Linked DNA regions of Drosophila melanogaster. The protein of the gene in region 3 purifies or fractionates together with the protein of the main gene of each other region. This does not show direct contact. Each region holds a gene or a part of one and is shown on either strand. Other genes may lie near its edges.

Region 1 (7,666 bases), on a different chromosome or scaffold from region 3:
CACGTGAGCTGCCTGTTGATTGCTGATTGCTGGCCAAAAATGAAACAAAAAGTGTATGCGACACTTGTGCGGAAATAGTGAGATCCACGTTTTAGCTAACAATGGCCCCCCGCAGAAGCAGAACCAGTTTTTTTTCGAATGTTTTTGTTTATTCTACAAGTTAAAGCTTAGCTTAGCAGATACGATGATACGATGATGATGTGTCAATGGCCGGAATGCCGGAATGCAACGCCCCATGTGAGTGAGAATAGCTTGGATAGGTGAGGAAATACTCGTACACTTAGCCTAAAGTCCTAGGGCGCCTGATGGCGACTAGGACGACTAGTGCTCAGTTCTCGAGGAATAAATCCTCGTAGGCGAAGCGCTTGAAGAGCTGCGAGAGAACGCTCTTCATGATCTCGGCGATGGCCACATGAATGGAGGGATGCAGCTCGTTCCACACCTCCGTCCAGTTGTCGTTGAGGAACTGATTCAGATTGGTGCCCAATGCCTGGTCGCCATTAAAGAGGTTCTCCAGCCGAATGTTCATCCTGTGGGAACACAAATATGTTAGTATATCTCAGCTAAAATCCGAACTGCACCTACTTTTGTGGCTCCACCAGAACCTTGAGCTTATCCACGCTCAGGTAGGTGCGTCCATTGCGCTGCTGTGTGCCCGGCTTGAATTTCACCGAAAACTTGGGATTGTGCAACACGATCTCGGCATCGCCATCGCCACGAATCGGCAGGATCAGGATGCGTCCATCCGCCACGTACTTGCCCTTCAGCACGATCTTGGGAAAGGATCCGTACATCTCAAACTTGCTGGTTGCAGGATCAGCGCCAAAGCCACTGAAAAATACGATTATGATGGATAAGTGCAATCAACTTAATATATCTTCTTCTGTTAATAAACATGAGAACTTCTTCACTTTTGCTTAAGAAGGAAATCACTTTTCATTTCACTTGCTACTTACACGGCTCTGTCGAACTTCACACTGGACAGGCCCTCCACATTCACGTCCCTGAAGTTGAGCTTTAGATTCAGGGAGCCAGTGCGTCCGTCGGAGATGTCGAAGCGCTTGATCAGGAAGGGCTCCACCTGGGGGAATCCAGCGGACGGATAGCCGGTCCTCGCGTGCTGTCTGATCAGCATGTGCGACACGTTGATGATGCAGCTGGTGTCGCCCATGTGGCAGCGCGGCAGTTCGGGAGCTGCAAGGATAAGCTGGCGATTAGCGAAGCACTGGGATTGTTGGCCAAAGGACTCACGGAAATTCGAGGCACCGCTAACCAAGCAGCAGAAGAGGGCCACGCAGCCCAGCTGGAGCAGCATCATTCTGGATATGGATCTAGTTACGTACGAAATTCAAGCGCCCCGAAATTCAACCGCTCGACGATTTGGCGAATGCCCGACCAGGTTCAATGGCAAACTGTAAATCGGCTCTGGACAGACGGCGGCATTTATAAAATTTCTGATCGGCCAGAACGATGGAGCGGCAACAAATGTGGCCAACAACAACCAGTACACTTCATAGTTTATTCATTCCTGACTTGTCGCGTCTTGGCCCTTGTTTTTCTTGTTGTTGCTGCTGCTGCTGTTGTTGTTGTCTGTCTGATTGCTGGCTATTTTTATTTATATTTTTTTTTTATTTATTCGTATGTGTATATCTCTTTCGCTTCGTGTTATGGATTCTCCTCATCATCATAGACATCGCAGTCTTTATCTTTATCGCAGCTACCCCTAACCAGAATTGGCAGCAGCATTATTATTAATTAATATTATTAGCATGCAGCAACAAATAACAATAAACAATAACAATGGCAACGCGCACAAAAGGCAGCGAAACTCAAAATTTTAATGCTCAATCCAGTCAGTTTTCAAGCAATTAACCAATATATTTCCACTTATCCTGCAATGCATTATATATATATATAATTTAATTATACATATATAATTTGCACTATATTTCGGCATCTTGTGTACTTTTTATAGATTCAAACTCCGTGAAATGGAATCCGCGCTTTGTTCACACTTTTAATAAAGTGCAAATATCAATTCGTACTTATTGGCTTATGATATTATTCATCCCATATTTGCTTTGAGATCAGCACTTGGAATTGGGAACCTACCTCTGGGGGAATTCCTAAGTGTGCTAAATGGCCAGGCAATCTGAAAGGGAATGATAATGAATAGGTCATGGTTAAGGATCCACGATAAAAATCACTTAAGTTATGAAATTGTATTCCGACCAGAAGGAAGAATGCATCCCAAGGCTCCCAACTATGAAATTTCCGTTTTGGACATATGTACGAAGATAAATCTTTTTGTGGCCAACACAACTCAATTCCGACATAAACCAATTAGACATAGTCGGGCATTTTGGACGACATCAAACAGGTTCCAACGGCATCGATAATCGATAATGGATGGATCGACGGATAAAAGTTGCTCGGCGAGGTGGCTTCACTTTCAAAACTATTGGACAGGCGACGTTCGGAACGGGCCGAGTGAATTTAATTTGGCAAATTCTAGTTAAAGGCTCCTGGCGTTCGTCATCAGCAATTAGCATATACTACATATATACATATGTATATGTATATTTGGTGTGTGATTGGCATGAAACCGGCATTCTGTTTATTTACCCATCCAATTGGCGCCAGGTGAGTCCAAATATTTCACTTTTGTCCACTTTGATGTGTTTGCGCAGCCAATTCCTAGACGCTGTCGTAGACATCGAGATTACAACGGATTTTCGGGGGCGAAATATGGTAATATATGCAAACACGCTTTTATTTTATTACGTCGGGCTTGCCTGCAAATAATTTGGCATTTCAATTTTGAGTTGGTTGATTCATCTGCGCGTAAACATGATTTCGTTTTTCTTTGTAAACTCAGTAAATACGTTTAGTTTATAACTAGTTTAGCTACGTTGTAACGAAGTGGAAAGCTTATGAATGGCGGTTACTTTTCAATTTTTAATGAATTCACGATGAGTTTGGGAATTTTTGGTGGCATTCTGGTTTGATGTGGTTTAATCGTTCTGAATGGCATTAACTTTTTCTGGTTCTTAAATATTAATTTCAAGTCTGGAAATTTCTAGCAATGCTTGTTTTTCACAACAAACTAAGGTTTAAAAATATTAATATTTGTGTTCGTTAGGGATAAAAATTAATTTGTTAGCGAAATAATGTTTGAAATCATTTAAAGTTTCCAACTATTCCGGACTAAGAGCAAAAATTAACCATAAAAATTTTTACTTAATTTTTGTATTACTTATTTATATAAGATTTGGCTTGGAATGTCCAACAGCACAATCTAATAAATATAAAGAAAGATTATAAAGCATACATATAGTTTACACTTTTTCAATACTTTAATATATTCTATTGTTTATAACGAATTTATTGATTACAAATATTTTCAAATTTGAAATTGAATTGTAACCGCCTTTGACTGGTTCCGAATCGACTGGCTCTCCACGGAACATATCGCCACATGCGGTATAATCAATGCAGCTCCCTACGGTCATACTATTAACCACATCCACATCAGAAGTCTGAAATCTGATTTAAAAACTCTCACGAAACTTACTTAAAACCAGGTGAAATAAAGACTGAATACATTCTGGAGGCAAGACAAGCTGAAGCAGTATGAGTGGCAAGCAGGTAGTCATCCTTCTGGGCAGTGTCCTGATCCTGGGATGCTTACAAGTGGCAGCGGCAACGGAAACGGATAACAAAACCAACGATTTCGTGGCCACCGACGAATGGCAGACGATTGCGGAAGGTTAATGGCTAGCCAGGCTAACTCTCGGATGACGTGTACTAAGTGAGCACTCTATATTTCCAGGTCAAGCTATTCCAAGGGGCCTGCACGTGCGCATCAACCTACAAACGGGGCTCAAGGAAGCCAAACTCTTAGACGAAAGCGAACGTGGCACGTCGCTGCAGAGTCAACCGGATGATCAGAATGCTCGGGAATCTCACGATGACAACGAACCCCTGGCTCTGGACTATAAACCGGACATAATCGAGGAGTCTATACGGCGGGTCAAGGAGCAGAAGAAGAGCTATGCCGAGCTACGCAAAGCGTACAAAGAGTTCCAGAAGAACTTTCGCACCGACGGAGAACTGATCGTCCAGTTAATCGATCAGTTTCGGAACTTCAGCAGAACGCCGCTAGAGTCAGAGATGCGCTCCAAGCTGGACTGCCTGGAAAATCTGGAGTATTTGCTCCATCAGATAGACAATGCCTTGATGTTCATTGATAATGGGGGATTGGATGATGTACTACTGCCCATTGTTGTGAACGATACCAGTACATCCCTGAGAGTGTCGGCCATGCGTGTGTTGGGCTCGCTGGCGAGCAACAATCCCAAGGCCCAGATCAAGGTGTTCGAAAAGAATTTCGGGTCTCATCTGGCTCAGATTCTGACCAGTTCCGGAAATGTCGGTGAGATCTCCGCTGCATTGCACGCCTTTGGAGCCTTGTTGCGGAAATTTCCGCTAGCCCAGCAGCGAGTGCTTTCCACCTCGGGTACACAGGCTCTGATCAAGGTGCTCCAGAGTCCGGATGTGGAGCTGCGGAGCAAGGCGAAGGTAGTGACTCTCATAAGCGACCTAGTGCTGGAGAAGCGGTCAGTGCTGGATGTCAGCAAAGATGATCCCGAAGCCTCATCCACAATGGCGCAATATGTGCTCTTGGACTTCGAGTCGTGGCTGAAAACGCCGGGCTACTGCGCGGCGGTGGACACTGTGCTAACCAAGGAGTTCCTGCTCCTCCTAGAGCAACCGGAGGTGGTGGAACAGTTTGCCACCGCATTGGAGACCACCGAAGATATGTGCACCAGCACGTGGTCGCAAAGTTCCGGTCTCAGGCATGCACTATTAACCGTTCGCAATCGGTATGCCAACAGCACGGACGAGTACCGACTGGAGGTGTCCCAGATTTTGGCCAAACTGTGCGAGAGATTGTTCAACAAGCCCAAGCACACCGAACTGTAATCCTAGCCAATTTACTATGTTATTTATGTTAATTTCATTTAATTGTAAGCTGAGTTGGAATGAAATTCGCAGCCAAACCATAGAATACGATAGCTAAGATGCCAAGTACTTGTGATGCAAAAATAATGCTCTTTGTCATTAACTTAGGATAGCAATCAATCATGCCAAACATCTACAGGATTTTCGTTATCAAATATAGTCTCTTACTTAAGATTATTTTAAGTGTGATTTTTTTTTAATAGGCAGACGATTCACCAACGAGCACATCAAAATAATTATGTTGTTACACGTCATTAAACTAGCAAAAATTTGTATGCTACAGAATTGTTCTCCAAACAGATTATGAATCCTTAAAGCCTTAAGTTCTTGTTTATTGTAGCTACAATAATAAAGCAATGACCTAATGTTTAATTTAGAAATTCTTTCTTAAATCAGTTGACTTCTTTTCAGTGGCATATTCTTAAAATGTAGTGCTAAATTATGAAAGGAAATGTATTTTCAATCAAGAAATCGCATTAGGAGATTGGATATTCCACCCCTATAGAACTACAGACCCATTTAAAGCCCGATAAGGCGAGCATAATCGACCGGGCCATAAAGTAAGTCAAAAGTGTCGGAAGGAAAGCAAAAACGCCGAGGAAAGCATGTCCCAAAAAACCACTTGAAGTTTGAATGTGAGCCAAACGAAGCCACAAGAACAGGGAAAACCTGGCACGGAACTGTACAGGAGGAGAAAGGACATCGGAGCAGGAGAGTGCAATTATGTGCCGGCAAAGTTGGAAGTTGGAGTCGAAGTCCAGCGCGGGAATTACAGCAATTAGCGGCAGTCACATGCAAATGCAATGTCACTGGGGCTGAGTCACGACGGTGGATGGTCGGATAGGTGGAGTGGTAAAGGTGAAGCAGCGCCTGGAAGGGAGCCGGCTAGGACGCCGCCTTGGTTCCCATGGCTACTCCATGCAATGTAAACAGAGAAAAGGGGTTGCAAAGCCGGCTCAGTGGAGCACAACGCAGAGAGGCAGGAGAGGATTCCTGAACTGGAATTCACTCATCAATTCCAATTCCAGCTGGGGCGCGTGCGCAGTGGCGGCGAGCTGTTGTTGTTGTCATGGCACTGCCCCACCGCCGCTACGCTTCCCCCTGCCTCTTGCCGCTTTCCAGCCGAAACGCTTACGCTTGACGAGTGATGTGGAAACATTTTCGACACAAGCGAAAGAGAGGCTTCCACCGTTTAGCCACAGCAGCGGTCAAAATGGTAGGAGCTTGACTGGGAAAGCCTGGTATCCCATCAAGAATTGCAGTTGGACTTATAATATTTTCAATTAGATCAAGTTCGCTTTTTTTGAAATTCTGGGATGTGGTTTCACTTTGTATACAATAATTCAAAAGTTTTTTTTTTAAGATTCTTTGCGACTGTTTTAAAAGCTAAAAGTGAACAAAAATTTCAATTTATGCATCATTTACAATTGTCTACGATAACAAAATAATTTCAAAATTTCAAAAATGGTTTCCCATTTTGAAGGTTTCTTCTGGAGATTCCTTCTGAAAGCGTATGAAAGATCACTATTTTTGTGACCGCGACTGTCGCATGTGTGCATGCATGTTGATAGTGAGCGCACACCGGCTTCACAGGCTGTTGCTGCTTTTATTGCCGTCGGTTGTTAGGGGGCGCGACTTTGGCTACATTATGGAAGGAAAATCAGTTTGTGTTTGGATCGCGAGGCGAGGAGCTCGTTCAGCGCTGCGGAGTACTAACTGAAAGCGTTTCGGCCAACATTGTTCTTTGTCCGTTGCAATCGCGGTCAAAACAATGAAATAACTAACATTTAGTGCACCTGGAAGATAAAGCACGAAAGGATTAAGTGCGTGTTTGTAAAACATAAAGTACAGTGAAGCATATATGTAGTTCAAAGTATAAAAATCAGCATATACTAAGCTGCTCAGTTGGTGATTCCTTTTTATAATATCAGTTTTTTATTAAATGAAGTACTTTCCTTTTCATCTTATTTTATCAGCCCTACTTGCTGTCATTACCGGAATCCATAAATTGTCACCAATTAAATCTCCCATATGCCGTAAATCAGTTAACAGTTTATCCGAATGAAAAACCCCTGGGGAAAACAAGTTCACAGTCTGCGCCACAGGCGAATATCGGAAAATGTAACCGTTTTTACACAGGTGAATGACTTTTTTGTGCGCTTCCGCGGGCTTCCGGTCAAAAAAGCGTTTTCATTTTCGCCATCGGCCAACGGCCAGCTATGCGATTTGTATGCAAATGTTTGTCTGTCCCCCAAACCTCCGGATTCAGCCATCAAACGATGCAGCACGCCTCCCACTCCCCACGCTTTCCTCCCTCATCCTCAAAACACCCGCCCACCTGCTGTGGTATGCCATAAATCCTGTCCAGGAGGAGGAAGCTCCTTTGGCCCGTGTAAACGGGCGTTTCGAATTCTTCCACTCGCTCGAAAATACCGGAACCAAGGAAACAAAAACAAAAACATTGCCACCGTCTTCAGTGGCTGCTGTTGTCTATATACTCTTTAAGTCCATGAGGGTATAACAGACTGATCTTCATACCTATTTTATATGGATGAACTTATTATAATCAATTCAAGGTTGGTAAAGTTCGGATAGGTAAAAGGCGACCAAGAAAGAGTACTCCTAGCTTCGGTTTTGTATC
Region 2 (7,652 bases), on a different chromosome or scaffold from region 3:
GCTGTGGGGCAGGAATCTTGGTGATGCTCTGAGCGAGCGTGGCTAGTGGTATGATGGTCATGGTCATGGGCTGTCCGCCCGCTTGCGTCGGAACAATGGGTGTGGCCAGGAGAACTTTTTGAGTGGTGCCTGGCGGTGTGTTAGCTTGGAGGGGCAGTCTAACTAGAGGCGGCAAGGGCTTCAGAGCCCTGGCAAAATTTAGTTCGCTTAGTGAGGGCTTGACATCAGGCTCCTCCTCCAGATCATCCTCGCCGCTAATACCGCCACCGTCGACATCCACCTCGTCATCCTCGTCTTCTACATAGCTGCGGGGATGGCTGCTCACCGGGCTGCCCAAGCTGACCTCTTCGTCATCCTCCTCGCCGTTCCGTGGCCCACTTTCCGGCATGCTTTCCGACATGACGTCCTTGACGATGTCCTTGATCTGCACCGAGTAGCCCTGCGTGTAGCCTATCTTCAACAGTCTGGTGTCGCTGTGTTGGATGCTGTAGGTGCGTCTGAACTTGTCGCACCACTCCTGGTGCGGAAAGAAATGTGCCAGGTTCATGGAGCTCTTGAACTGCAGCGCCATCTTCTGGATGAGTCCGTCGGAGATGCTGAAGTCCTTGTAGTACATCATGCGGCGTATCCAATCGTACACGGCCTTGCCCAACATCGAGACCCTGACGGTCTTCGTCTCCATGGTCTTGGCGTCCTGGCTCCTGCGGGTTCGCTGATCCCACGCGTTCAGAATCTCAGCGCGCTGCTGCACGATCCGCTTGATCTGATCTGGGCTGCAGTTGAACAGCCGGCCAACGTGCTTATAAACCGGCAGCCGATCGTATTCCCGCAGAGCAGCAACCTTTTCGTTGAGGGCCAGGACATTCTTGCGCTTGATGCGATTGTCGAAGGCCACCTTCTCGGCGGCCGGCAGGCTGGGGGTGTGCGTGCTAGTGGGTGTGGGTGATGCAGTCGAAGTGGGTGCTGCTGGTGGAGCAGGCGCAGGCGCAGGAGCTGGTGTGAGAACCTCCGTGTCAGTGGCCTAACGACGAAGGGAAAAAAAGTGCTGTTATTACCGGGTTTTATGGTAACAGTTGAAATCGTGCAAAGTAATGCCACCATGAATGTAGAGATACAGTGCTCCCTCTGAACATGAATAATGTAGACAAAACAACAGAAGGTCTTTGCATATTTAGTTATGTTAACAAAAGCAACAGTTAAGAAAGACGAAGTTTCAAGGAATACATGGGGCTTTTATACTCATACTCATTCAAGCTTATATACAAATAAACGCCTAGATCAAGTCATTTACACTCGTGTTCTTTGAGAAGTGAAATGGGGTGGAAACACTTTGCGAGGCTTGACTGTGGCCACTTACCTTCGCCTTGTTGTTGTTGTCCTGCGTCTTGGAGGCCTCCTTGTGCTCCTTTTTCTCCCTCTCCACGCGCTTCTCCACCCTCAGCTCCCTCTGCAACTTGCGTTTTTCGCGTATCCGCATTGTTTGTGCTTTCCGTGCAATTTACACGGCAATTGCCGTTTGTTTTCGTCTTGTTTGTTTTTGTTGCTGCTGCTGCGCCCACTCAATTTCGCCCACCCCTTGCACCCTTTCTGCTCTCTCACTCACACACCCGCCCGCCTGTGTGTGTGTGTCCGTGCGGCTGTGTGTGTGCGATGGCTACGATTATGCGCGTTGACTGTCAAGCGAATTCAAATCATTTCGTCACTGCTTTTCTCGCTTTTCTTTGGCCTTTCAATGCGCTTTGGCTCTATTCGCTTTCGTTTTCTCTTCCTAGGCACTCGATTTGTCTTCTGATTGTGATTTTCCAACTGGCCGTGCGCTGCACCTTGCGTATTTTCCGATGTCCGTGCGAACTAGACGACGACCCATACAAAAATAGCTGCCGCGTTATCTCGCGCAGTTTTCATTCTCTGCTCGCTCCCTCTCTCGCTCTCGCATGCGCAACGTGGGCAACTAGAACGGAAGGGAAGTCGGCGTGTGCGAGAGTGTGTGTGCGTGTGACCAGCTGAGAGGGTGCAACTGCGCATGCGACAACTTTACTGTTACTTTCGCCATGTGGCAACTCTGCAGGCGATCGCTTTTTAAGTAGAGTAAGATTAATGAGAACATACATATGTATGTATGTATTTTGTTTTCAGTTTAAGAATGAATTGATTTCACAAGATCTGCAACTAACTGCACTGTAAAATATAACTATAAAGTCTTTGCGAATTGTAATCAATATTTAATTTAAATTAATCGAACCACCACCAATTGGAAACCCACGAGTCCATACATTTCGAAAATAATCTTTATTTTAACGCTTTTCTCCGGCTAATTTGTTTAACCGAATTTGGTGAAGTGTCGCAGGATGTGCGACATGGCCGCGGGATTATCGGCAGGAACCATGTGACCAGCCCGGTTGACCCAAAACATGCTGAAGTTGCCATAGGTCTTCTCGTAACCCTCGAGAACTCGATCTACGGTGATTCCCACGCGCGGAGAGACCTGGTAAGATGGCTTGGCGGACCATTCCATTGCTTCGATCCAGTTGACGGCTCCCGGAGTGGCGCAAATCAGGTCCAGTCCTCCGGAGAACACGCCCACTTTTACGGTGGTGTTGTTCAGCAGTTCACCCACTAAAAGTGTCATAAGGCTATAATTTGAGGTAGCACCCAGACGGTTGAAACATACCAACATCCACAGCTGGCTTCATGAAATCGCCCATCAGCTTGGTGAAGGTGGTGCCGCTCTGGGCGCCCCATTTCACTCCGGTGTTGATTCCGAGGGCCTCGGTCACGGGTCCAAGCATTAGATCCTCCAGCAATTTGTCGCGGTCCTCATCCACATCGAATTTCACGAGGGTGCGATACATGACCTCTGGATAAGTGGTTGATGAGAATCAGCTCGGTAAGTTACGCAACGGATCTTACCCTCCGGAGTCATGGCAGCTCTGGACATCAACCTGTACTGATCACCCAATGTTGGGGTCTCCACGTTATAGAAGTCCACTCCCTTGGACTCGCGCAGCACCACTGACTGGGTGGAGCTCCACTGCAAAGTGGCCTGTGTCCACTTCTCGCGGTCAACATAGTCCTTAGTCTTCAGGGCCGAAGCTTCAATCTTGTCATGGCCATCCTGATCCACGATTCCCAACTGCAGCAGGAAGGGAGCCCACGAGAGCACAGAGTCTATGGGTGAGGTCCAGGGATCTCCCAAGGCCACCGAAACAAAGTTGCTCTCGATCTCACCGCGCTTGATGGCGTAATCCAACTCCAAAGCGAACTCCGGGGCCATCTTTCCGCCATAACTCTCGCAGAAGATGTGCAGCGGCACAGTCTTGAATTCCGGGTGGTTTGTGTAGAAGCCCTTCATCAGCTCAACGAGATCCAGGGCGATCTGCTTGTTGTTGGTCGTGTAGTAAGAAGATCCGTCCACGTAGCTGAAACCACTGCCCACGGGATTGTCGATGAACATCACGTTCATGTCCTTCACCCAAGTCCAGTCGCGGTAGCTGCCGTCGAGCTTCAGGGGACCCAACTCCTCAAAGTTTCCGTATCCCGTTGAGGAGGCACCTGGACCTCCTTGGAGCCAAATGGCCAGCGGACGCTCCGTGTAACTGGAGACATTGGCGGTGGTGTAGTACAGCCAGTAGAACATGTGGGCGCCAGTCCTGACATCCACAAATCCCCAATCCTGATCACCGGGTCCATAGCCCTTGCGTGCTGAGAGTATATTGAATTATAGCTCATTTCGATTAAATAGTTATTAATATACAAAGCTCTTTGATTTTGTAATTTCATGATAGCCCCTGATTTCTAGGGAACACTTGAGAAATCTAGCCTTTAAGTATATTAAACGGCTGCACGAGTAGCCATTTAGATAAGATTAATTGTTATAGATAGTGTAGATAGTTGATTGTATTGTCTTATAACAAACCGAATAGCGGTTGGTCACTGTATCTTTTACAATGGTAATAAGGTCTGTCCCCAAACGATTCATAAGTATTTCAATCTACGGATATAAAAGTAGGTAAAAAAGTCTGTAACAGATAATTCTGTTGGCCTGTTCTACAAGTCGTAAAGAACCGTTTGTTTTGGAACACTTTCTCACTGATTAGCACCCCTAATTGGAATACAAATCACGATTCTCACCGTCAACGGAAGCCAAGCCGGCAAATCCCAGTAGGGCCAAAAGTGCGATGATAGCGCGTCCAGCCATGTTGCACCAGTGTTTCAGTTCCAATTCCAAGAGACACCGATCGAGAGACAACCGCACACTTGGCAGTTCCACTGCCAATTGATCGCTGGTTGCTCCCAGACATCGAAGGTAAAATAGCAACAGCCAGCACCTGACACACCTGGAATTCGTAATCTGCGGGCAGGGGAACTGTGTTTGCAGAGTATTTATGGCCCTTCGCTGGACGGTGACGCGGCTTTTTGGTCAATCTGTGCTTGTCACTCGTCCGATTTGCCGAATCTTTGTGTCATATATTTAGATAGAGCCTATGAAGCTCCAAAATCATCGCAAAGATTGCACTTTGCTATCTTGAGTGGGTTTTCCGAGGGCTTTTCCTATTATTTTTCGGTATCACTTGCGGTTTATCCCACGTGACATGCGTGAAAGATATCTAAGGTGTCTCCCAAAAACTCTTTTTAAATCATCAGCATTCTTTGATTGATTGACTATATTATTTTTAGGTGTTCATATAATCATATATGCATCAATTCTGGGCATTGCTTTTTAAAGAGCAGATTAAGACATACATTTGACATTTATCAAAATAACTAATAGGATAACTTCCCCAGCTTCTATAAGCAAAAAATCCATTACGATTTACATTATATACTTTCAGTAAAACACTCCTCTATTTTTAGACGAATATAGTATACAACTGGCTTGCATACTGAGTTTATTATAATTCAATTTAAATGAATTTAGCCAAATGAGGTAAACTCTCGAAGTACATGACTCATAGCCGCAGGGTTGTCCGCCGGAGCCATGTGACCACTTCGGTTGATCCAGAACATGGTAAAGTTACCGCCCGTCTTTTGATAGCCCTCCAAGATGCGATCCACCGTGATGCCATTGCGTGGAGCAGCCAGGTACTCGTCCTTTCGGCTCCAGTCCAGCTTGGCTATCCAGTTGACGGTGCCCGGTGTGGCGCAAATCAAATCCAGGCCACCGGAGAATACGCCGACCTTCAGAGGAGTCTTCTCCAGCAATTCGTTCACTGTCATTCAATGGATGTCAGACGCTTTCGTTATATAAGAAGTAATATCCCTACCAATGTGGATGACTGGCTTCATGAAGTCCGTTCTGTGGATGTCAAAAGTGGTCCCACTCTGCGATCCCCAGATGACATTCGAAGGTATACCCAGGGTTTCCGCCACCGGGCCCCGCATCAGATCCTCCAGTAACTTGGTTCGATCCTCATCAATATCGTATTTCACCATGGTGCGATACAGACGTTCTGCAGGGAAATATCATGGTTTGAAAAATATCGTATCGAAGTATTTGGTTCACCTTCGGAGGTCAAGGCCTTTGATCTCTGGTAGAGACCACCCTTTGTCTCCTTCAGCACGTTGTAGAAGTCCACACCCTTGGAGGCTTTCATCACCTCCCACTGGGTGTTGCCCCACTGATAGGTGGCCTGAATCCATCGCTCCTCCTCCACCAACTGAGCCGTGAAGTTCGCTGCCTCTTGAATGGCATTGTATCCCGCGTGGTCCACGATTCCCATTTCTCTGAGAAAAGGTCCCCATGCGAGCACGGAGTCGATGGGCGAGGTCCATGGATCCCCCAAAGCCACCGAGGTAAGGTTGCTCTTGACCTCACCACGCTTCTTGGCGTAGTACAGTTCGAGTGCAAACTCCGGCGCCATCTTTCCACCGTAACTCTCGCAGAATATATGCAGCGGCACCTCCTCGAACTCTGGATGCAGGGTATAGAATCCCTTCATCAGCTCAACCAAATCTAGAGCGATCTCCTTATTGGTGGCCGTGTAAAAGGCCGTGTTGTCCACGTAGCTAAAACCACTGCCTACGGGGTTGTCAATAAAGAGGACATTCATGTCCTTCACCCAGGTCCAGCTGCGCCAATCTCCGTACAAATCGACGGGCCCAAGTTCTTCAAAGTTTCCATACCCCGTCGAAGAGGCACCGGGACCTCCTTGGAGCCAAATGGCTAATGGTCTTTCGGTATAGCTCGAAACATTGGCGGTGGTGTAGTACAGCCAGTAGAACATGTGGGCACCGGGACGCACATCTACGTAGCCCCAGTCCTGCTCTCCGGGACCGTATCCGGGTTTGCCTAGGATGCGCCATTAGTTCATTTAAAGATTACCACATTTCAGAGATAGCGCTCGATTTACGATTCTTACCATGCGCCAAGGCGGCGAACAATGCCAGGAGTGCTACCAACCGAATCGACATTTTCAACTGAAAGTGATACTCAAGCGCACGGGCTTATTTAACGGGTACAGCACTATCAGCAGAACTTGACATCAGATAATAGTTTTTCAAAAATGATAACTTCTATCGATCTGGTTCTTTCAATCATTCAGAAGAGGGATGATAATCATTTTTGAATTTGTATATTCCCTTTTAAAAAGAAGTTGAATATCTGTTTATGTACGTATATTTAGGTACAACTAATGTTGAAACGATAACTTCCTCCATAAATAATCCCTTTTTCATAAACAATTTTACAATATTGTATATTATTATTATAATGGGTGGAATTGTTTTGCCTAAACTAAAACCAAATGCAGATCTCAACTGATAAGACCATTTGAATTCGAATAACTCGAATTATCGGTTATCGATAGCGTTCAAATGGCTGGCAACTCTGCGATGTTGGCTGTTTTTGCACAAACAGCTGTTGTCGCACTGTTGTTGTCGCCTTTGTGTCTGCAGGTGCAAAATAATATATTAATTGGATTAACTTGGGATTAATCGAGCGATCACAGCCATGGCCACGATGCGCATACCCAAACAAAAGGTGATCCTGTGCGGCGACTACGGAGTGGGCAAGAGCTCCCTGTTCCGGCGCTTCGCCACCAACACCTTCATCACGGATACGGACAGGAAATCCACGTTGGGACTGGACCACATCGATAGGGAATACAGTGTGAATGAAAAGCAGATCAAGGTGGGCTCGGGAACCTCTAAAAGGGCGTGATGGCTGAGATATGAATCCTTAAGCTCTTTAGTTCGATTTCTAGACGAAAGCCACAGTTCTTCAGACTTACAACTTATTGCGTTGTGAGACACTTATGTATATACCGTCTTCTTTGACAGCTCCAACTCTGGGACACCGGTGGCATGGAGCGTGTGGCCTCGGTCACATCCTCGTACTACAAGTTCGCCGAGGGAGCCATCCTGGTCTTTGCTTTGGACAACGCCGCTTCGTTCCACTCGCTGTCGCAGCACTTGCTGGACATTGTGACCTATGCAGAGAATGCCAAGATCTTCATCTGTGGCAATAAGAGCGATCTGGATGGCAGGGAGCCGGAGGTCAGCGATGAGGAAGTGGAGGCCTTCTGCGAGCAGTGCCACTCACTGATCAGTGCCACGTACAAGACCTCCTGTCGCAGCGGCGCCGGTGTGGAGGAGATGTTCCGTGACATCTCTAGGCAACTGGTCCACGCCAATCGCTCCAAAATGGAACTGCA
Region 3 (7,523 bases):
CGGGTCAACAATGACAGGCGCATGGATATCTTCCGGGAACCGGGTAAACTTAACCTACTAACCTGTTGCACCTCGATCCAAGTGTAAATAACGGGTTCCGGGTGCCGTTCCCGTGCAGCGGATTGGCATTAGTTGTGTATTATTAGCATTAGAACTTACTTGTGTAACTTAGTTTGTAGCGGCGATCGTTGTGTAAATAACGTTTACTAGCATGTACAGAGGCCCCAGTCCCAGCATAACCGAAAGACGAATCCCCCCAAAAAGCTACTAACCGACCGATTGCATGTCACCGTTTCCCAATTTGATTCCGATTACCATCCCCTAAATCCCGTGTTCTCGACCTCACTAAACTCGCTTCTTGTCCGCTAAAGGCGATGTGGCCTGGCGTCACTACACCGTGTCCGGAAAGCCCTGCCGCCGGAGCAGTCCCTGCGCCAAGAATCTGATCACGGGCTTCTACTCCTGCGAGACGGATGCCTCCGAGGTCGGCTCCTGGGACTACTGCTGCAAGGCGGACCACCCGTGCGGCTACAGCAAGGGATTCGATTATCCATGGTAAGTGGACAGAGCTTTAATGAGCTTACCAATCTGCATGAGAAAGTGATACCTACATAATCCTCGACATTTTCCAGGTGCTTTGTGGGCGATGAGTCGGACCAGTGGCGCAAGTGCAGCGATCGGTACTTCCCCGGAAAGAACGGCACCCAGCCGACCCACTCGCATCTGGGACTGCCCAGTGCCAAGGAGAAACAGAAACATCCACATCCACATCACTCCCAGCCGGCGACGGCGGCCAGCAGCGAATACAGCCAGCACCCACCTCGACCCGGCGGACTGCAGAGCCTCAGTGACTTCGCCGCCGCGCGTCTGTGGCCCGTGACCTACCTGTACAGTGAGGGCCCGCCCAATGCCACCGAGTTCAGCAACTTCGTCGACTGCAACAAGGAGTCGTGCTAGTGGGGAGCGCTGATTTAGATTACGATTAGCAGATTAAGACATGCTTGTGTACTATAGATACCCCAATCCCCCATTCCTCCAATCCCGAACCCTAATCCCAGCCAGATGTACTTGGACCGCGCGGACGTTGTCGTTGTGATCATCATTGAGATTGGATACCATTGTCGTCAGAATCAAATGAAAGCAATTAACTTATTAACTTAACTCCCCTGAATGTTGAATGCAACCCAAATGACAGCTTGCGTGCAGGCATTCTTAGTACCACTAAGCTGAATTGTATGTATTATTAATAAAATTAGTTTTTACGAAAAACGCCTGGCACATGTTTTTCTTGGGTCGATTATTATTTTTTATTTAGCATTTAATGTTAATGCGTTAATGCATTGCGCTTCGTCACTACGTTCACAGTGATTAAAAACTACAATGCAGTTATTTAGGATTATTTAGTACGAGGCATGTAAATTTCTTAAGGGAAAACCATACTTTCTTTTGAGGTTTTTGGTTAACTAAATTACTATATAAACACATATTTGCAATTGTCTTTTTGGTGTTATGTTGTAAGTAAAAAGTTTTAAATCCTATTTCCCAAAAGGTGAATTTGCACATTCGCGGTACCAATCTTTCCGCTCGGAGTAAAAAAGCTTTTTAAGGGCTTTGTAGGCAAAGCAAGTAATTTGTTATGATAGTTTTTAAGAAATTGGATGTTTCTGCACGAGTAGATGTCCAATGAATCAGTATTTTAAGAGCTACGCAACTACAGGCAGGAGCCTGTATCATCCGATTTCATTTTGATAATAACAGGTTTGAAAAGATGCGCATTTACTGAGTTGGTAAGAAACTGACTGATAACAAACTTTTCCAGACGCTATATTAGTCAGCTTTTAAGTGTGAGTAAAGCTGAGTCCATGGGTTTGTCCATGTCATCCACCAACTTGAGTGCTATAGCAATTAGCTTTATTGTCGCTTAAGAAATGCTATGGAACTGTAATAATGTAATAATATGTCTGTAATAAATGCTTAACTTATGATTTGATAATAAAATTTTCATTTCACAATTTAAGTAAATGTGGAGTAAGTTTTTCCCATGTGAAAACTGAATTACTTTATTTATTTATTTTGAAACATAACATAAAGTTTTCCCTAAATATTTAGAAATATTTTTGTTCTGTAATGTATCTTATCTTATTATAATTTGGCTTGCCAAACGTTAGGACAACCTAAATTAGATTTTAAACTATCCTTGTTATTAAAGATTTCTAAATTAAATTTTATTATTATAAAGCTTTTGAGCACAGTATTCTGACAGAGAGTATATACAAGACTGGCTTTTAAAAGCTTTTATTTTATATGTATGTACATACATCTAAAATTCGGATTGGTTAATATTTAAATTCAAAGACACCTTCTTTTAAGAATTCAAATTTCCAGTCAAAACATATTTTTAAGTCGTTTCTCTCCCTCTCTAAAATTGAATTCTTTTTTATTTATTTATCTATCATTATTCAATTGTAAAAAAAGCTTTTTGATACTAGACAGTTTCTTTGTGTTTATTTGTATAATGTAGGGATTAATGCAATCTTGGAACGCAGTCTTTTGTAGATAAGAGTTTTCCTATACATATTTCGCGCTGTCAGGATTATACACATTTTCAGATAACAACTATTATGGTCTTTCAAGTCCTTCCATCCTCAAATGAACTCCCTCCTGGGTGGATATCAGGAAATTACGACTGGAAAACTTCAGCGGGATCTGTGTTTTCTCCGACCTGCTGAACTTAAAATCCCTTAGAAGGTATACAAGACCCACCTTCACTTGCAGTTTACCAAAACGCTCGCCTATGCAATTTCGAGGACCCTCGCCAAAAGGCAAATAGGCGAAAGGATGCCTAGCCTTAATCTCTTCTGGCTCAAAGCGACTGGGATCAAACTTTTCTGGATCGGGATAAAGCTCTGGGTCGTGATGAATACTATGCACAGGTATTATTATCTTAGATCCCGGCTCCAGGATTAGGTTGCTATTCGGTATCTGGTACTCCTTGGTGGAACGCCTCAGTAAGTGAGGCAGTATAGGATACTTGCGAAGCGTCTCGGCAACCACTTGGTCCAGGTAGGGCATCTCCTGAACGGAGTCGTACGTGAGCTTTTGGTTGTTGCGTTTCAAAACGGCGAGTACCTCAACCCGTAGCCTTTCTTGGACATCGGGGTTGAGGGCCAGCTCATACAGGCAGAAGGACATGGTGGTGGAGGAGGTGTCGAACCCGGCCAAAAAGAAAACCAATGCCTGGGCCGCAATCTGCTCGAAGGAGAGGGCGTCTTTTACTCCCTCCTCACCCAATTCCATTAGTAGTTGGATCAGGTCGTTGCGATGAATATTCTCCCGTCGCCTGTAGTCCAATGTCTGGCGTACCGTGTCCAAGAAGAACTCACTGACCTCCGGGCGAAAAAGCCTGAAGCGCAGCTTCCTAGCCAACTCCGGCTGGGCAAACATAAAGGCCTGGACGAGCACCGAATGCAGGGGCTCCTGGGTCACTGATCGGCCCATTCGCCGGAACTGCGACTCCGGATCCTGGAGACTATTACACTCGAGGCCGAAGGCACAGCTGCCGATCACATCCGTGGTGAACCTGGCACACAGATCCTTTGCCTCTATCTCGCCGACCTGGAGGCGACACGCCTGCGTTAGCTTCTCGCCCACCTCCACCATGTTGGGGAACATGAATTTCATCTTGCCGGAGGTGAACACCTGCGTCAAATTCTGGCGCAACCAGCGCCACTCCGGTCCGTCCAGGAAGAGAAGGTTCCCGGTCAGTGGATCGTCCCGCACATTATGGAAGAGTCCTCGATCGGCGAAGCTGGAAAAGTCCCTGATCATTATATCGCGGATCAGTTCCAGATCCATGATAAACAGCGACTTGGTCATAAAAGTGAAGTAGCCGCAGTAGCGCTCCACTCCCCGAAACTTCCGGTAGATCCGCAGGTTGATATCCGTCCAGTGAAGGTCCCTTCCCAGCCCACTCATATTGCCGCGGAAGTACACGGGTCTTTCTCCGGCGACGCCCCTTCTGCTCCAGTAGCTGTAATGCCAGCGTAGCTTGACATATAGCAGAAGTCCGACGGTGAACACGAGTACCAGGAGCGTCAGCATGGTACCTACTGCTCGATAGAATAACAACTGAGTGGAAAAGTGGGGTACATTTGATTTGCCGTCTGAAAAGCTTTCGCTTCGCTCTCTTTTCGGGGACTCTCTTTCTCTATCGGTCTTATATGCAAAGAACTGCAGTTATCTAAACATACATAAACATATCTTGCGTCATTTTAAATGAGAATCAAATGATTTGTAAACAAAATATATAGAGCGTTGCTAATGTTCAGTTTTCAGATCAATTATTATTTGAAAATTTAAAAAACTTCACTGGCTAAGCGTTATTAGATTATTTACAAGTTTTACAAGTACATTCTAAACTTTCCAAAGTTAGTAAAATTCCGAGTCTATATGCGTTCCACTATGGCGCTGCGAGTGTCCGAAGCTAAGGGGATGTCTGTTAGGTCTGAATCACCGAACTTGAAGCGCTGACACAATGCCAATCTTGGCCTGCATTTTGCCAAAACGCAGACCTATGCAACTGCGGGGTCCAAATGTTCCGAAGGGCAGATATGCAAATGGATGGCGGGAGTTGGACTTATAAGCCTTGAGGCGGCTGGAATCGAAGAGTTTTGGATGTGGATATAAGTGCGGATCGTAGTGAACACTGTGCACAGGTATCAGTAATGAAGTTCCCTTCTCAACGATGAGCTCAGTATTGCGGACCCTAAAGCTTTCTTGTGTTTCGAGCAAAAATTTAATTAATTGGATGTTTTCGAAGAGTTTCTAAAAGTTAAGTTGCGCTATCAAATTTTCCATGCTTACCAGACAAGACCTGTTCTGGATAGTTAATTTTAGCTAAGGCGTCGTAAGTAATCGCATTTCCTTCCAGAACCCTTTCTATTTCATCCCTTATTTGATTCTAGATCTCCGGCTGGAGGGCTAGTTCGTACTTACAAGAGCTCATCGTACTGGAGGAGGTCTCGAATCCAGCCAAGAAGAACACGATGGCCTGGGCAGCCATTTGCTCCAGGGTCCAGTTGTGGGAGAGATCAAACTTTGACCCTCCTTGCCTGCTACTTCGTCCTCCGCTCGGAGGACTGGTCCATAAAGTCATTCCGCTTAATGCCGGTTTAACCACCGACAAGAAGAAGTCGGTCAAATCATCGCGAAGAATCTTCATTTTTAACTTTTTAGCCAACTTGGAGTTGGTAACTGTAAATGCGGCCCTTTCTTCTGAACTCGGCTTTGGGATTCGGGATCCACTATGTGCCGATTCCCTTGATGTTTGCAATCAGCGGTAGAGGACGCTCATGGGACACTCCCCGTTCTGGCCCAATATGTGTAGGTGTTGTAATAGAATCTATATAAGCCAACATTGGGACCAAACTGAATAATGCGAGAGTGAGCCGCATGGCGATCAAGATACTTCTTTGGATTAAGCTATCCAGCACACTGGTACGCGAAGTATTTTCTTGAAAGCTTATTGTTAGGTTCTAACGAATTTTCTTCATAGATCTCGGGAGCTTAATCGGCAATCAAGCAAACAATCAAACATATGTACAATATACATATAAACATTTGCTCAGCTTTTGAGTCGACAAAGCTTTTTCCCATGGTGAACTAGACGGTACTAGAAGATAAGGTTGTAAACAAATACTATATACATTGTTTAGTTTAAGTGTACTATTGTACATTGTGATGATATAACTTATTCTTTAAGAGGTAAAGTGAAGAGCATACTAGATTCGTTGAAAAGTTTAAAAGTAAAAGTTTGAAAGTAAAATATAGAAGGAAACCCTTTGAGACTCATATATGTTAGATCAGAATCACAGGAGTTTATATGTACGCCGGACTAAATATGTATGTACATATTTTATGAAATTAGGGCTTGCATATCGCAATCTGATAGTATCTGATAGCCTCCTGTCTTTTTCTATTATTAACCTCGGAAATAACAATAGATAGAAGATAGAATAGATAGAACATTTTTATTATTCCGGTGACTCAAGTTGCCCAATCGTATTCGTTATCAAGAAATTCTGTCAACATGACCACCGTAACAGAAATCGGTGATAAAGAGTCGACGAAATGTTTGGTCTAATGCCTAATGCCGCAAAAATTTGTTGGTAATGCTGAAAAGAGGGGACAATATCAGTTGGGGCTCTATAAATGTACCCGTTATCGCTATAACAATTAATGCAAATGAATTCTTTGTTTCGAGCTTATTTTCCAAGGGGCAAAGAGCTGGCAAGCAATTTCATGAAAAATACACATGTTCAGACATTTAGCTTGCAGCTCAAAGTTTTCTTCTGAATGCGCAGTTGTAGCCTCCTTCCAGGACACTTTTTTATTCGACTCCTAGAGTGTTTGTCCTCTTAATTGAAATGTGAGCCTGGGCGTAAACAGGAAAAGAAAACATCAGTTTATTGACAAGTTGTTGATGATTTGCTAGACGATTTGCTTGCTGCCTTTTGGCCTTTGCATCTCACCTTTAATTAAACTGAATCCTGTGACTAGGCCCAGAAATCAATTCAAGCGTAAACTCAATAAAACTGACACAAAATCAAGACGCTGGTGTCACTGAATTCCCAAGGCGTGTTACAAAGTTGCGGGAATATTTACGCGAATGCGATTAAAGGCCCATTAAACGCTTTTCTTGGGGCAGCACGCTGCTCCCAAGGAGGCGACACTGAAGTGGGTGGATCCCCAGCTTCCCCCTCCCTGCAGGACTTCTGTCTGCTTCCTAGTAAATAATAAAACGAAGTCGCGCCTAAAAGCATTTTGTGACCTTGTGCGGGCGTGTGTGTGCTGTTCTGGGTGCTTAAAGGATTTGGGCCTAATGCTCACGGCCCGTTTTATGCCGCTAATGCGCCATCTTCCAATCGACATAAAAATCGTAATGCCGCAGTTAAAGGCAGCTCGAGCCATAAAACAAAAGCTGGAATTAAATAATAATGCAGGGCCAACGGATATTATGCTTATTAAAACTAAATTGCTTTTTGCTGATTCTCATAGGTTTGCGGCATTTCGGGAGCATAGTTAAAAGCAAACCAATTATTAATAAAATACGGAGTAATGTCACTGTATTTGCAGTACCTTTTAAAAAGGCAAACTTGTTTGTTGATTCGTAGTGCAAACCAATTTAGGTATTATTCTCGTGATAGTCAATATTCAAAACGTGTTTGGAAACTACCTTTCAGTGTGACTAACGTCTTATTGACGCTGGCTAGTTTAAGAAAGTTGCTGTCAATGCATCCTCTTACAATTGTGCTTTTAAATTCTAAACCTGTATTCCATAGATACAAAATAATTGTTTATTTTGTTTGCGGGAAGTCAAGCTCTCTAAAGCGTGGCAAAGCTCAACAGAAATCCAAAATCATCGTGCCTCAGTTGTCCCTAAACGCTGATTCAGTGAAGTCGTTTACGCGATAAGTTTACTGTGTGAAAAAGAAATAAAAGTTTCGTCAGCCTTTAGGTGGAAT

Evidence for each region. The genes of interacting proteins can lie anywhere in the genome.
Region 1: the proteins of Cyp6a13 (region 3) and Sil1 purify together in Drosophila melanogaster (affinity purification with mass spectrometry, with the first as the bait; one large-scale study listed by BioGRID). This does not show direct contact.
Region 2: the proteins of Cyp6a13 (region 3) and hiro purify together in Drosophila melanogaster (affinity purification with mass spectrometry, with the first as the bait; one large-scale study listed by BioGRID). This does not show direct contact.

What each region holds. Positions count from the first base shown.
Region 1 is NT_033777.3:25,231,365-25,239,030, reverse strand, and holds Sil1 (Sil1 nucleotide exchange factor), read left to right. Parts: upstream 1-3,501; 5' UTR 3,502-3,633; coding exon 3,634-3,769; intron 3,770-3,832; coding exon 3,833-4,986; 3' UTR 4,987-5,395; downstream 5,396-7,666. Other genes in the region: Jhbp7 (juvenile hormone binding protein 7), read right to left, coding at 329-530, 586-831, 957-1,194, 1,252-1,318. UniProt on the Drosophila melanogaster protein: Required for protein translocation and folding in the endoplasmic reticulum (ER). Functions as a nucleotide exchange factor for an ER lumenal chaperone of HSP70 family.
Region 2 is NT_037436.4:683,671-691,322, forward strand, and holds hiro (highroad), read right to left. Parts: upstream 4,289-7,652; 5' UTR 4,199-4,288; coding exon 4,132-4,198; intron 3,703-4,131; coding exon 2,911-3,702; intron 2,858-2,910; coding exon 2,672-2,857; intron 2,617-2,671; coding exon 2,321-2,616; 3' UTR 2,272-2,320; downstream 1-2,271. Other genes in the region: ebd1 (earthbound 1), read right to left, coding at 1-1,021, 1,358-1,477; CG32483 (uncharacterized protein), read right to left, coding at 4,915-5,210, 5,265-5,450, 5,504-6,289, 6,360-6,411; RabX6, read left to right, coding at 6,950-7,129, 7,279-7,652.
Region 3 is NT_033778.4:8,567,109-8,574,631, reverse strand, and holds Cyp6a13 (cytochrome P450 6a13), read right to left. Parts: upstream 4,134-7,523; 5' UTR 4,102-4,133; coding exon 2,620-4,101; 3' UTR 2,485-2,619; downstream 1-2,484. Other genes in the region: CG42326 (uncharacterized protein), read left to right, coding at 1-43, 372-555, 633-957. UniProt on the Drosophila melanogaster protein: May be involved in the metabolism of insect hormones and in the breakdown of synthetic insecticides.